2 linked regions of the Drosophila melanogaster genome follow. The protein of the gene in region 1 interacts with the protein of each later gene in a biochemical or structural test. Each region holds a gene or a part of one and is shown on either strand. Other genes may lie near its edges.

The links.
Region 2: the proteins of LBR (region 1) and Lam form a complex in vitro, tested with the Drosophila melanogaster proteins (one study listed by BioGRID).

Annotation. Positions count from the first base shown.
Region 1 is NT_033778.4:21,718,814-21,724,703, forward strand, and holds LBR (lamin B receptor), read left to right. Parts: upstream 1-1,920; 5' UTR 1,921-2,088; coding exon 2,089-2,514; intron 2,515-3,044; coding exon 3,045-4,844; 3' UTR 4,845-5,242; downstream 5,243-5,890. Other genes in the region: Tango11 (transport and golgi organization 11), read right to left, coding at 268-822. UniProt on the Drosophila melanogaster protein: Anchors the lamina and the heterochromatin to the inner nuclear membrane.
Region 2 is NT_033779.5:5,540,367-5,547,168, forward strand, and holds Lam (lamin), read left to right. Parts: upstream 1-2,113; 5' UTR 2,114-2,294; intron 2,295-2,412; exon of another isoform or gene 2,413-2,958; 5' UTR 2,959-2,965; coding exon 2,966-3,428; intron 3,429-3,671; coding exon 3,672-4,375; intron 4,376-4,440; coding exon 4,441-5,142; 3' UTR 5,143-6,276; downstream 6,277-6,802. Other genes in the region: Hel25E (helicase at 25E), read right to left, coding at 606-724, 787-970, 1,067-1,290, 1,357-1,555. UniProt on the Drosophila melanogaster protein: Lamins are components of the nuclear lamina, a fibrous layer on the nucleoplasmic side of the inner nuclear membrane, which is thought to provide a framework for the nuclear envelope and may also interact with chromatin.

The sequences.
Region 1 (5,890 bases):
AAAAACCAGCAGGCATGGTAATCTCTTTGCAAACTGAATGGGTGGCAAGCGCAGTGTGATCGCTATCTATCTATTATCTATTAACAATTTTGGTTGTTTTATTGCGTCATGTGTGGATCGCTAGGGTCTAGACTTCCATCAAATGAAGTGCTCTTTAACAGAAATCACAGAGTTGCTCATTCTGCCCATCGATTTAATTTACAAGCACTTGCAATTGAATTGAAAAACTAAAGGAAAATTGTTGCTTGTATGGCATATTTTACTCACCTGCGAGTCCGATTCAACGGAATTGGTGTCATTGCCTTGAAATCCCATACGGGCGACTCCATTGGCACGCACATATTGGGTGGCATGGACCTCCTCATCGTCGGCGTCCTCGTCGAGATCATTACCATACAAATGATGACCATTGGCCCGGATGGGCGAGCTCTCCTCGGAGGCCGAGGGAAAGTGTTGATCGGTGAGGGTGATAATGCGCGGTGGCGTCTGGACGCGCACCAATCCGACCGATGGGTTCTTGGGCAGAATGGAGTTCTCCAGCTGGATTTCCCGCGGAGCAGATCGCGTCTCCAGATGCTGATTGTGGCCCAGGACCACAATTCGATCCGGTACATTCATGTCGATCTTGTCGTGATAGTTCCAGGAGCTGATCATCCCGTTCTGGTTGGACAGCAGCAGATCCTCGTTGGAATACTCCCCGGTGGCCTTTATTCTTTTGGGAACCCGCATCTTGTCGTTAATCTCGTGGGCATATTTGGCGTCGCTGTAGAGATCATCGTCCAATCCATTGAACATGGGCGTCGGCGATTGCGGGGTCACCATGGCGATGTCCTGGGGAATCCTTTCAACTGATCCAATGGGCCTCACTTGCTTTTGGTTTTTCGTTGTTTGTCCAATTTTTTTTTTTTAGGTAGAAGGCGGCCGTGAGAGAGACGTTTTCATAACAAATTAATAACCAGAATTTGGCAAGCGCAACATTTTCGTCCGGCTTGTGTGCGTGTGTTTGTTGCGTATTGGGTTTTTCGAATGCTTTCTACTTACATTGCTCGGGAAATGACAGAAAAATGTCCGAGAAATCCGTAATAATTTACAATTTTTCTCCTGCCTTTTGTTATGTGTGTGAGGAGATTGATATAGAATGTGCTAAATAATACCAGGAATGACAGTCACTCTACTTCCACTCTACAGATCCGGCACTCTAGCTCCTTTTTAGCCAAATTAATTATCTACCTCAATATCAGTAGAAAACTAGGTATTTAAGAAGTTATTTCAGTTGTTTTGATTCATTTTATTAATATGTTTTTGTTTCTTGAAAAGTTTGCGGTATTCTTCTGTCTTGAACAAATAATTTACAACTCGATTTAAGCGACAACTTTGGTCTTTATAACCTACATATGTAAATAAAATGAGTACTGTTAGTCTTTGCAAAGATCAAATACTCCAAAAAGTTTTCTATCGATTTATAATACTTGCGCATTGGTATGGTTCGATTAATGTTTAAGGGAATGTAAAAATAAGTACAAGTACTTTTAATACTTTAAAATAATTAACCTTGAATACATTTTAAATTGTCTTAAAGTGCCCACTAAACCACTGTTAACGACACGCTGCGTGCTGTTAGGCGCCGTTCGGCGTTAGCCAACACTGAAAAATACCAACGCAGTGGGCCGCGCTCATTTTACAACAAAATTTTCTCATCCGCCGACAACTAGACGCGCGTCTTTTTTATCAAGTGATTTATGCTGAATTTACGGCGTTTCAATAGCCCCATAAAGTGAAAAACTACAAATAAATCCCATCAGAAGTGAGTTACTAAGTTGTGAAGCGTTAAAAGCTGTTTAAGCTAAGTTAAACATCGTTTAAAAACTGCCAGCCAAGAGGAAGAGAGCAAGAGAGAGAGCGCGTTCTGCCAGCGTCGCTGCCTGCGGAATGTACAGTTGCGGCAGCGACGTCGCTTTTCCTTTCGGCGCGCAAACACAAATAAATACAGAAAATTAGAGAAATAAAGAAAGCAAAGAAACTAGAGAAAACCACAGCGTTACTTAAGTACATTAATAGATTGTGTGTATTTTGTAAACTATAAATAACATGCAGCACTCGCCGAGCACAACGACTGATCATATCCATTTTGCAGCACGTTTTTTCGACCGCAATTCATACACCATGGATCGACGCCTGAGACGCCCGCGTCGCACGGAAGACGTGTCCAGCGGTCCACTTCTGGCCCAGTCCAAGCAGCCCAGCCTCCTGCCGGTGACCCGACGTACGGGCTCCGTGACAGCTGCGGGTGCCACCGCCACCGCCACCGCCACCGCTGGTCCCGCCACCCGGACACGTGCCTCCCCGTCACGCAACAAGGTCGTCGCACCGCCCTCGCCCGATCTTGGCCCGCGCACCCGTCGCTCCAGCCGGCCGAGGTCGTCGGTGGGTCCGCTGACCGGATCGGGATCTGGTTCCTCGCTGCCCATCAAGGCCGCCATCAAGGCACGCACACCCATCCCAGAGGTTTCCGAGGTGAGTTCTCCAGCACAAACCAGTTTTGCTGGCCGGTGGATAAGTGCTTAGCTATATTTGATCAGTATTCCAACCATCAGCAGTTTAGAATTTTGAAATCAATTGCTTTCAATATAAAAGCATAGCGAAATATTAGTTCTATTTAATTTCGATCGTTACAACCAATTAAACTACATAATTAACTGTAACTGTCCTACCTTTATTACAAATTTCGAGCTTCTGTTTCTGTGTGTTTTATGAAGCTGATAAGCAGCACCCACCGCCCTGCTTATCAGCTTAGAGTTCTGCCCTCATATGCTACCATAAGGAAATTCCGGGCTAAGATAACGGATTTGTAATTGTTGAGCTAAACTGCTGATTACAAAAATAGAGGGGAATCTGATAAGTGTACTCAAAACACCTTTAACCCAGTTTTGAGTACCCACATATTTTTGTACAATCATGTCCCTTTGTATATTCTTCTAAGGTTATATAGTTTCTGACTTTGTTTTATCACTTATTACATCTTTACTTATGATCTTAAATTACAGGTATCATCGCCTATTCGTTTGTCAACCAGCAATCTGCCCATGACATTGACCACCAACACATCCAGCGGCGCACCGAACAAAGCATTTAACACAAGCTCCGTGAACAGCGGCAACAGCTTCAGCCGTACCACTACCAGCAGCACCACCACAACCACGGAGCGCATCGAGATCCGTGCCGAGGGAGACGGCGAGGTGGACACGGATTCCATTCGCAAACGCATAACCGAACGACTGCGCAGATCGGTGTCGAAGACAATCTCAAATCTAGCTGGAACACCAGTGACAAACACCGAAGAGGGCAGTCGTTATAGTAGGAGTGTGTCCCGATCCGTCTACGACGATGAGAAGTCCTCCAAGCGTAGTTACTCTACGGGTGAAGAGGATATTGATGAGGAGGATGAATTGGAGGAGGATCAGTTCCGTAGTTTCAATGTAACCCGTAAATCGGCCACACCGGCGGAAATATCCTGCCGTCAGTTGAAGGCTCCTAGAGAATTTGGCGGTTGGCTAGGCGCCTTCCTGTTCCTGCTACTTCTGCCCACCGCCGTCTACTATTTGACATGGAGCTGTACGGCCAGAAACGCCTGTCAGTTTAAGCACCTCAATCTGGGTATACTACTGGATGTTAACTACCTAACGCGCCAGGTGTTCCAGCCACGAGTGGTGGGTGCCTTTGCCGCCTATCAGGTGGTGGTATTTCTGCTGGTGGCACTGCTACCAGGACGAAGGGTTCATCTCACCCGCGAGACCTACAAGTTTAATTGTCTAGCAGTTTCGCTTACGCTTTTGATTGCCAGTGGAGTGGCCGAGTATCTGAAGTATCCAGTGGTCACCTTCGTTCTGCGTCACTATCTGCGTTTCTGCATCTTTGGACTCGTTGGCGCCTTTGTGGCAGCTGCTTGGAGCTACTGGCTGGTGGACACCGCCAAGTACAATGTGCTGCGCCAAACGCTGACCAATGATTATGGCAGGACTGGCAGCTTTGTGGTGGACTTCGCGCTGGGCAGACAGCTCAATCCCAAGTGGCTAGGACGCGTGGATTGGAAACAGTTTCAGTACCGTCTCTCCCTGGTGACCACCTTGATCTATGCCACCTGCTACATCTACCAGACGCTCGTGTGGCCCCAGAAGCCGCAGCTGGGTGAACAGGAGGGCTATCTCTACCAGGCCAAATACTACTGGAACAATGTAAATTATGATCCTGCCACCCTGTTCTCGGCCAGCTGCTTGCTGTTCTACGTATTGGACGCCATTATTTTCGAGCACCACTTGAGCTCATCCTTTGAGCTGCAACACGAAGGCTACGGCTGTTTGCTGCTCCTGCGCTACGCAGCCACTCCATATCTGCTGACGGCGGTCACCAAGTATTTCTACGAGCAGCGTGTACCCATCTCCTGCTGGTATGCTCCGCTGGCAGTGGCTGCTCTGCTGTCTCTGGGATTGCTGGTCAAGCGATTCAGTTGCGCCTACAAGTACAAATACCGATTGAACTCGCAAAGTCCGATCTTCGCCAACATCGAAACTATTCACACGTATCAGGGAAGCCGTCTGCTGCTCAGCGGAATGTGGGGATGGGTACGCCAGCCCAACTATCTAGGCGACATCGTGGCCCTGCTGGCCCTGGCTGCTCCCATGGCCCTGCGTCCGGCCTGGCCACCAGTTCTGGGTCTTAGTCTGATCATCCTGCTCCTGCTCCATCGCGCCACCCGAGCGAACGCCCGGAATCAGGCGCGCTATCACTCCTCCTGGCAGCGCTACAGCACCCAGGTGCGCAGCTACATCCTGCCCAGGGTCTACTAAGCCGGGAGTTGACCCTTCTATTTTCTGTGGCCATTCTTATTTTTATTTTGATTTCAGTTTGTTTTTATTTTATGTTTCGAATTTGTATATATAATACGTATTCATAATTCATATTGTTCTAGACCACCAATACAGCCCCCCCCCCCCCTTCAGCCCATTACTTTTAGTAACAAAATTTGATTTTACACTCGCCGACACACGCACATTAAACAAAATGAATTTTCACACACATAATTATAGTTAAAAAACCCATCTAGCTGTACGAACTTATGCGCTTAAGATCTAGACATCTTATATAATCAATACTTGTAATCTATGTGGTATGCATATAGATAGTACTTTTTACATTTAAATATGAAATAAAAAAAAAACATAGTTTCTATGCTATGAAGAAACGCACAAGGACAGCTGTTTATTATGTATGTTTCCATCAAGTCAGTTAGTTGATTCCTGATAAGCTCCATAAATCGATTTTCACTTAGCACTTGCCAGACTTTAAGGTCACTCCAAGTGGATTTCAAGTTGAATCAAAATACAAATTATGAGCGGCCAGCAAACTGCGGCCGATGATGATGATGATGATGATGAATGTCAGTCAGCGAATAAAAGAAGTAATTTTGTGTAAAAATACCCGCTCCATCCAGCGAACACCCACCACCTACCGCTGTTCCGCTTTTCCGGACGGAGCGCATAAAGTTCTTGGCTGTGGGCGTGGCACGCAGCCTTTACAACTGTTAATGACATTTACGAATGTTTGCGAGCCACCGAAACTTGGTGGACCTCATCCGTTTCGCCATTCCATTTGCCACCCCACACACATAATGCCAAAATAATGACGAAGTCTGGGCTTGCACCTCCAAAAGACCTGCTCGCAATACACTGGAAAAAACATAGTATATTTATTATAGAATTGTTTGTTTTAAAAACAAATAAATTATAATTGAAGTTTATTATCTCTAATAATATATTAAAATTTATGCACAACAGTATGTGTGATTATGTTATATTACAAATTTATTTCAGTGCACAATGCCATAGAAAAATGA
Region 2 (6,802 bases), on another chromosome or scaffold:
AACTTAGACTAGGCTCGCCTCGGAACATACAACAATATGCATAGAATATTCTACATACGGCCACGCTACCACCACATCTCATCAACTAGTCTCTGAACTGCTCCCGAGGATCGATGATCGCTCTGAGAAGTGTGCGGATTACAGATGAGCGGGCCTATCGCATCGCATTCGCTCTGGATTGATTCAACTCGTCTCATCGGCCAGTCGGCGGGATCTTTGCTGTTTGCTTGTAGTTTTATTTAGGTATTGGTTTTTGCTAGCGTTGGTATTGTTAAATCTTTTGCGATTTCAATTGATTCATTCAGCGGTTACTGCTTGTTTATGCTTTTGCAACGGTTGCCAATTTCCACGATTAACCATTTAGAAAATGGTGTCCGATAGTCATTAACTAAGTTTTTCGATACGAGTTATGCTCACAGAGCGCTGGACGTTTGGTTGTACGCGTTTAACCATTTGCAAGATGGTGGTTGGCTTATACGGAGGGGATCAAGATCGAATGTTCGATATCGCGTGGCATTAACAAAATAATAACTAATTGTCGTGATAGCGGTGGATGCGAGGTGGAGAAGTACGAGCATTTTGGTTATGAACACGTTGATATTTACATCTTGCATGAACTTTTTGCAAACGGGACGAATGTCCTTGCTCAATGTGGCAGAGAACATCATCACTTGTTTGCCGTGCGGCGTGCTACGGAAAATCTCTTGAACGTCACGACGCATATCTAAAAGAATGGTTTGGTTATTAGTAAAACGTCCGTCATTTGGTGATTATTAGTCAACTTACCCAGCTGCTCCAGCATCTTGTCGCACTCGTCGAGCACAAAGTGCTTCAAAAGCTTCAGATTAAGTTTCTTGTTGCGAATGAGGGCGAGAATTCGGCCAGGGGTGCCCACCACAATATGCGGGGTGCCGCTCTTGAGGGTCTCCTCGTCCTTTTGAATAGCCATTCCGCCAAAGAAGACAGCCACCTAAATAGAAAACATATCGAATTAATATATAGTAACTATATAGTCGAACCAAACTTTTTGTTGAATTATATACAATGGATTAAAACGTAGACTCACCTTGACTGTGGGCATGTACTTGGAGAATCGCTCATACTCCTTGCTGATCTGGAAGGCCAGCTCGCGGGTGTGGCACATGACCAGGACGTGGCAGGTGTTGTTGTCCGACGGCTCCAGCTGCTGCAGCGTGGCCAGAACGAAGACGGCGGTCTTACCCATGCCGGACTTGGCCTGACAGAGGATGTCCATGCCCAGTACGGCCTGCGGAATGCACTCGTGCTGAACTGCAAGCGGAGAGCATCGTTAGTGACTGTACCTTTCGTCACTCCAGGTGGAGTGCAAGTACTCACCCTCCGAGGGATGCTCGAAGCCGCAGTCCACGATGGCGCGCAGGATCTCCGGTTTCAGGAGGAAATCGCGGAAGCCGGAACTGTGAATGGACACATAGGTGCCCTTGACATCCTTCTTGGGGGCCTCCTGGTTTTCGACCGCAGTGGTCTCGGTCTGCTCCTCATCCTCGTAGTCCAAAAGATCGTCATTGTCGGCCATTTCTGCGGCTTTCTTACCTTTAACTAGTTATCGGCTATAAATTCGCAACTAAATGCTGGGAAATAAAATGGGTGCGACTAGATAAGTTACATGTGTTTGTTAAAGAAAATGCCGCTTTTTTTTGCGGAACCGGTGCCGGCGTTCCCTCCGCCATTTTGTTTTTTCACCGCACCGCATTACATGTATTTCGAAATAAAACGAAATACCCATTACAAGCGACGATTTTATTTAGTGCAGTGTGATTTTCAGTGTCAAACTCACCTTTTGTGCACGTTTATCACTTTAAAATACAGCTTTTAAAGTGAAATTAACTATTTTAAAATCTTTAACGTGATGCGGAGGAAAAAACAGCGCAGAGCAGTGTGACCGAAGTACGTTTAAGAACTCATGCGAGCTGAGCCGGGTGATATCGTTAAGTTATCGATAGTTGTGCACAACAAATCCATTTGTAAGCTTCAACTAAAAAGTTTTTATAAAATATATGCCTTCTAACGCTTTAAATTAAAATGGCTTGTTGAGCTTAAATTTAATTTTTTTTTTATCATTTTGGGGTCAAGCGGTTCTTAGTCTTTTATCTAGCGCGGCGTTTGGTCACACCAGGCATGCCGGAAAGTTATCGATTAGTCTCTGAAACCATCGCAACAAATTCGATTACACGTTCCAGCGTCGGCCGCGTTTTCCTGCTGCAAGATACTTCATTTTCAAATTTGTGCATTTTCCGTTCGTTATAAAAAGTCAGGTGAGTTGCGCTGCTATCTACGAGCATTAGGAAAACTTGTAGAAAAAGTTGAAATAACTGATTAAGTGCCGAACAATAGAGGCGGCACTGTTTCACTCAAAATCGAAATAACCCCCCTGCCTGTATTAGTGTAAAGTCGCTGTAAATATTGAATTAAAATCGCCATATTGTGCAATTTTTGGCTCCTTATCAAATCGTTTAAAGTGCGTCGACTGGATTAGCTAAGCGTTGCGATTGATTAAACTAGTATTAGCCGCGCCATTTGCCTCCACGCCCATAAACAAACGCCGACAAACTCACTTCGTTTTCCTCGTCCGCTTTAGTACAGTCGCTTGAGTGGAAAGCGATGTGCGTGTGTGTGAGTGAGACGTAGAGGAGACTGCGAGAGAGAGAGAGAGCGCGTTAGAGAAACTCGTTTAGCTTCTGTTTTTGAGCGTTTTGTGCGTTTCCCCTCTTTCGTGTTCGGTTCTGTTTGGAATTTTATCAGGGCGCAAAAATAACATACCCTACACCGAACGAAAAAGTTCAAATATAAGTATTGCATATAAAACGCGTTTAGAAGGCACGCAATTGTGTTATTCAACTTTTCTTCAAGTGTTGTGTCCTAAAGAGGTCAGTCACAAAAATCTCACGTGTTATTCTGCACATTTCATTTGTCTTGCAGCGTGAACATGTCGAGCAAATCCCGACGTGCTGGCACCGCCACGCCGCAGCCCGGCAACACCTCCACCCCCCGGCCGCCATCGGCGGGTCCGCAGCCGCCGCCGCCGTCCACTCACTCGCAGACGGCCTCCAGCCCCCTCAGCCCCACCCGGCACTCGCGCGTGGCCGAGAAGGTGGAGCTGCAGAACCTGAACGATCGCCTGGCCACCTACATTGACCGGGTGCGCAACCTGGAGACGGAGAACTCCCGCCTCACCATCGAGGTGCAGACCACCAGGGACACGGTCACACGCGAGACCACCAACATCAAGAACATCTTCGAGGCCGAGCTGCTGGAGACGCGCCGTCTGCTCGATGACACAGCTAGGGATCGCGCTCGTGCCGAGATCGATATCAAGCGTCTCTGGGAGGAGAACGAGGAGCTCAAGAACAAGCTGGACAAGAAGACCAAGGAGTGCACCACTGCTGAGGGTAAGTGCGTGGAAACTGAATCGATAAGAAAACCTTATAATTGTAGGGCAAAGAAAGTAGAGTAATGATAAAATTAAAAGTAAGAAGAGACAAAAGGCGTGGTTTCAAGCAAGAACGAAACATTCATTTAGTTGCTGAACTGTATATAATGATTATCCCATGATATTCCTCACTTTCTGTGACAAAATCATCCCTATTCTGGCATTTAACGAACATTAATTGATTGATTATCCCAACCCGCAGGCAATGTCCGCATGTACGAGTCGCGCGCCAACGAGCTGAACAACAAATACAACCAGGCCAACGCCGATCGGAAGAAGCTTAACGAAGACCTGAATGAGGCGCTAAAGGAGCTGGAGAGACTGCGTAAGCAGTTCGAGGAAACGCGGAAGAACCTGGAACAGGAGACACTGTCGCGCGTTGACCTGGAGAACACCATTCAGAGTCTGCGCGAGGAGCTCTCGTTCAAGGATCAGATCCATTCGCAGGAGATCAATGAGTCGCGCCGCATCAAACAGACAGAGTATAGCGAGATCGACGGTCGCCTCAGCTCCGAGTACGATGCCAAGTTGAAGCAGTCGCTGCAGGAGCTGCGCGCCCAGTACGAGGAGCAGATGCAGATTAATCGCGATGAAATCCAGTCCCTCTACGAGGACAAGATCCAACGACTGCAAGAGGCCGCCGCACGCACATCCAATTCCACGCACAAGTCCATCGAGGAGCTGCGCTCCACTCGTGTGCGTATCGATGCGCTCAACGCCAATATCAACGAACTGGAGCAAGCCAATGCCGACCTCAATGCGCGGATCCGTGATCTGGAGCGCCAGCTGGACAACGATCGCGAACGCCACGGTCAAGAGATAGACCTTCTCGAGAAGGAGCTCATTCGGCTGCGCGAAGAGATGACGCAACAGCTCAAGGAGTACCAGGACCTTATGGACATCAAGGTTAGCTTTAATACTTGTCTAAAATCGTGTACGTATTAATACATAAATCTAATTATCCTGCTTAGGTCTCCCTGGATTTGGAAATCGCCGCATACGACAAGCTGCTGGTGGGCGAGGAGGCTCGTTTGAACATCACCCCAGCCACCAACACGGCCACAGTGCAGTCCTTTAGCCAGTCGCTGCGCAACTCCACGCGAGCCACGCCATCGCGTCGCACTCCCTCTGCTGCCGTGAAGCGCAAACGCGCCGTGGTCGACGAGTCGGAGGATCACAGCGTCGCCGATTACTATGTGTCCGCCAGTGCCAAGGGCAACGTGGAGATCAAGGAGATCGATCCCGAGGGCAAGTTCGTAAGGCTGTTCAACAAGGGCAGCGAGGAGGTGGCCATCGGTGGCTGGCAGCTGCAGCGGCTAATCAACGAGAAAGGTCCTTCGACCACTTACAAGTTCCATCGATCGGTGAGGATCGAGCCAAATGGCGTGATCACCGTTTGGTCGGCGGACACCAAGGCCTCGCACGAGCCGCCATCGAGCCTTGTGATGAAGTCACAGAAGTGGGTCTCCGCCGACAACACTAGGACGATTTTGCTGAACTCCGAGGGCGAGGCCGTGGCCAATCTGGATCGCATCAAGCGCATTGTGTCCCAACACACATCCTCCTCCCGGCTGAGTCGTCGTCGCAGCGTGACCGCCGTGGACGGCAATGAGCAGCTCTACCACCAGCAGGGCGATCCTCAGCAGTCAAACGAGAAGTGCGCCATTATGTAAAATCAAACGCAGCACAACACAACTCTTTCCTCTTTGCTGAACAAGACAAACAAAATAAGCACACACGAAGATCATAATTTAGAACCCAAAAACACACACACCGAGGTACAGAGATTTATTATTCAGCTAAGTTATTTTTTGTGGCCGCAGCGCCAATTATTTAATCAAAAACATTTGTGTAGAAGACATCCTGAATCTTCGTTTCGTTTGTACACTTTCGTTTTCCCTTTCTTAACAAATTCTATAGTTTATTGTTTCGATGTTTTTGTATTTCCGCGTTAACTAATCTATTGTAAACTTTATTTGGTATAAACTGGAGAGGCATGTTGCCTCTTTTTTATGCCACATAGAATTTACGTAAGACGTTCACTTCTTGTATTCGCGGCGGCAAGAACTTTGAAAATATTGCAAGAAAAACAATATTTTCGATGTACTTACGCTCCACCTACATATTTAGTAAATTAGTTTTTAAGCTATATCCCAGATAAACCAGTCGACGTCAGCAAACAACAACAAAAAAAAAACAACGAGCACGTAGTGAGTGATTTATAAGATACAGGTCAAGAGGATTAACTAAAGAAAACAAACGCTCCTGACAACAGACATATTTATTTAAGTATTTTTTGTACAATCAACATAAAATACATTATACATTATACATACATATACATACATACATTATATATATAGACTCATGCCTACGGAAGTGACAACCAGCCAGCAATATATATTTTTAGCCATGGCCATAGGGTTTACGATCCACCAAAACGGCTTTCTCCCGGTTTAGACCGGTTCTTGAGCTTCCTGCAGACATTTTACCGGACGAGCAACAATAAGAACAGCAACAACAACAACAGCATTAACAGCAACAACACAAATGTACAACAATTACAAAAGCAACAAAGAAGAAAAACGAAAGAAAATGGAAGTACACGTAGCGGCTCAGCGATCCGTCGCATTTTTTATGGGTGGGCGTGGTCGCGTTTTACGCCGGCCAAACAAATGCAACGCCCACACAGACTATTATACAAAAACTGATGAATACAACTAAATTTTAAGTACATCTACGTTTATGTATGTAATTGCTAATAATTTGATAATTAAAAAATAAAGAAACCATGTTTAATAAAAATTAAAAACAAACTTTGATTTAGCAATAGAGAGAAAGACATAAAAAAGTATTAAATAGTTTTAAAGCGTATACTGAAACCAATAAGCTCCTACGAATTTCGTAATAGTAGGGTACGCATTTCACTTTCGACGCCTGGTGGCCCTTTTTTCGTCACTCGCTTTGCGTTTCTATTCGTCGCCATGAGTTATTTTTGGAATTTTAATTTTTCTGCGTCTGTATTAGTTGCCTACATGCTTTTTCAATGCGTGTGTTCGCTCATAAACTTTATTTTTGAGTGACTTATCGATTATTTTTGAGTGCAGGACGTTTCAAAACCAACGTGCTTTCGCATTTATAAATATAATTTCTCTTCTTCTTCCGACCATGATTGTTTCTTTTAAAAATGTTAGGTGTCAACCCTGTCGATAGAGAAGAGAGCAAAATCCACTCAAACGAAACGCACTCAACGCGAGAGATGCGGTTAAAGTTCGTTCAACTGGCAAATGCAGTGACCGTTTAACCCGCGATAACGATAACAAAAGTATCTCA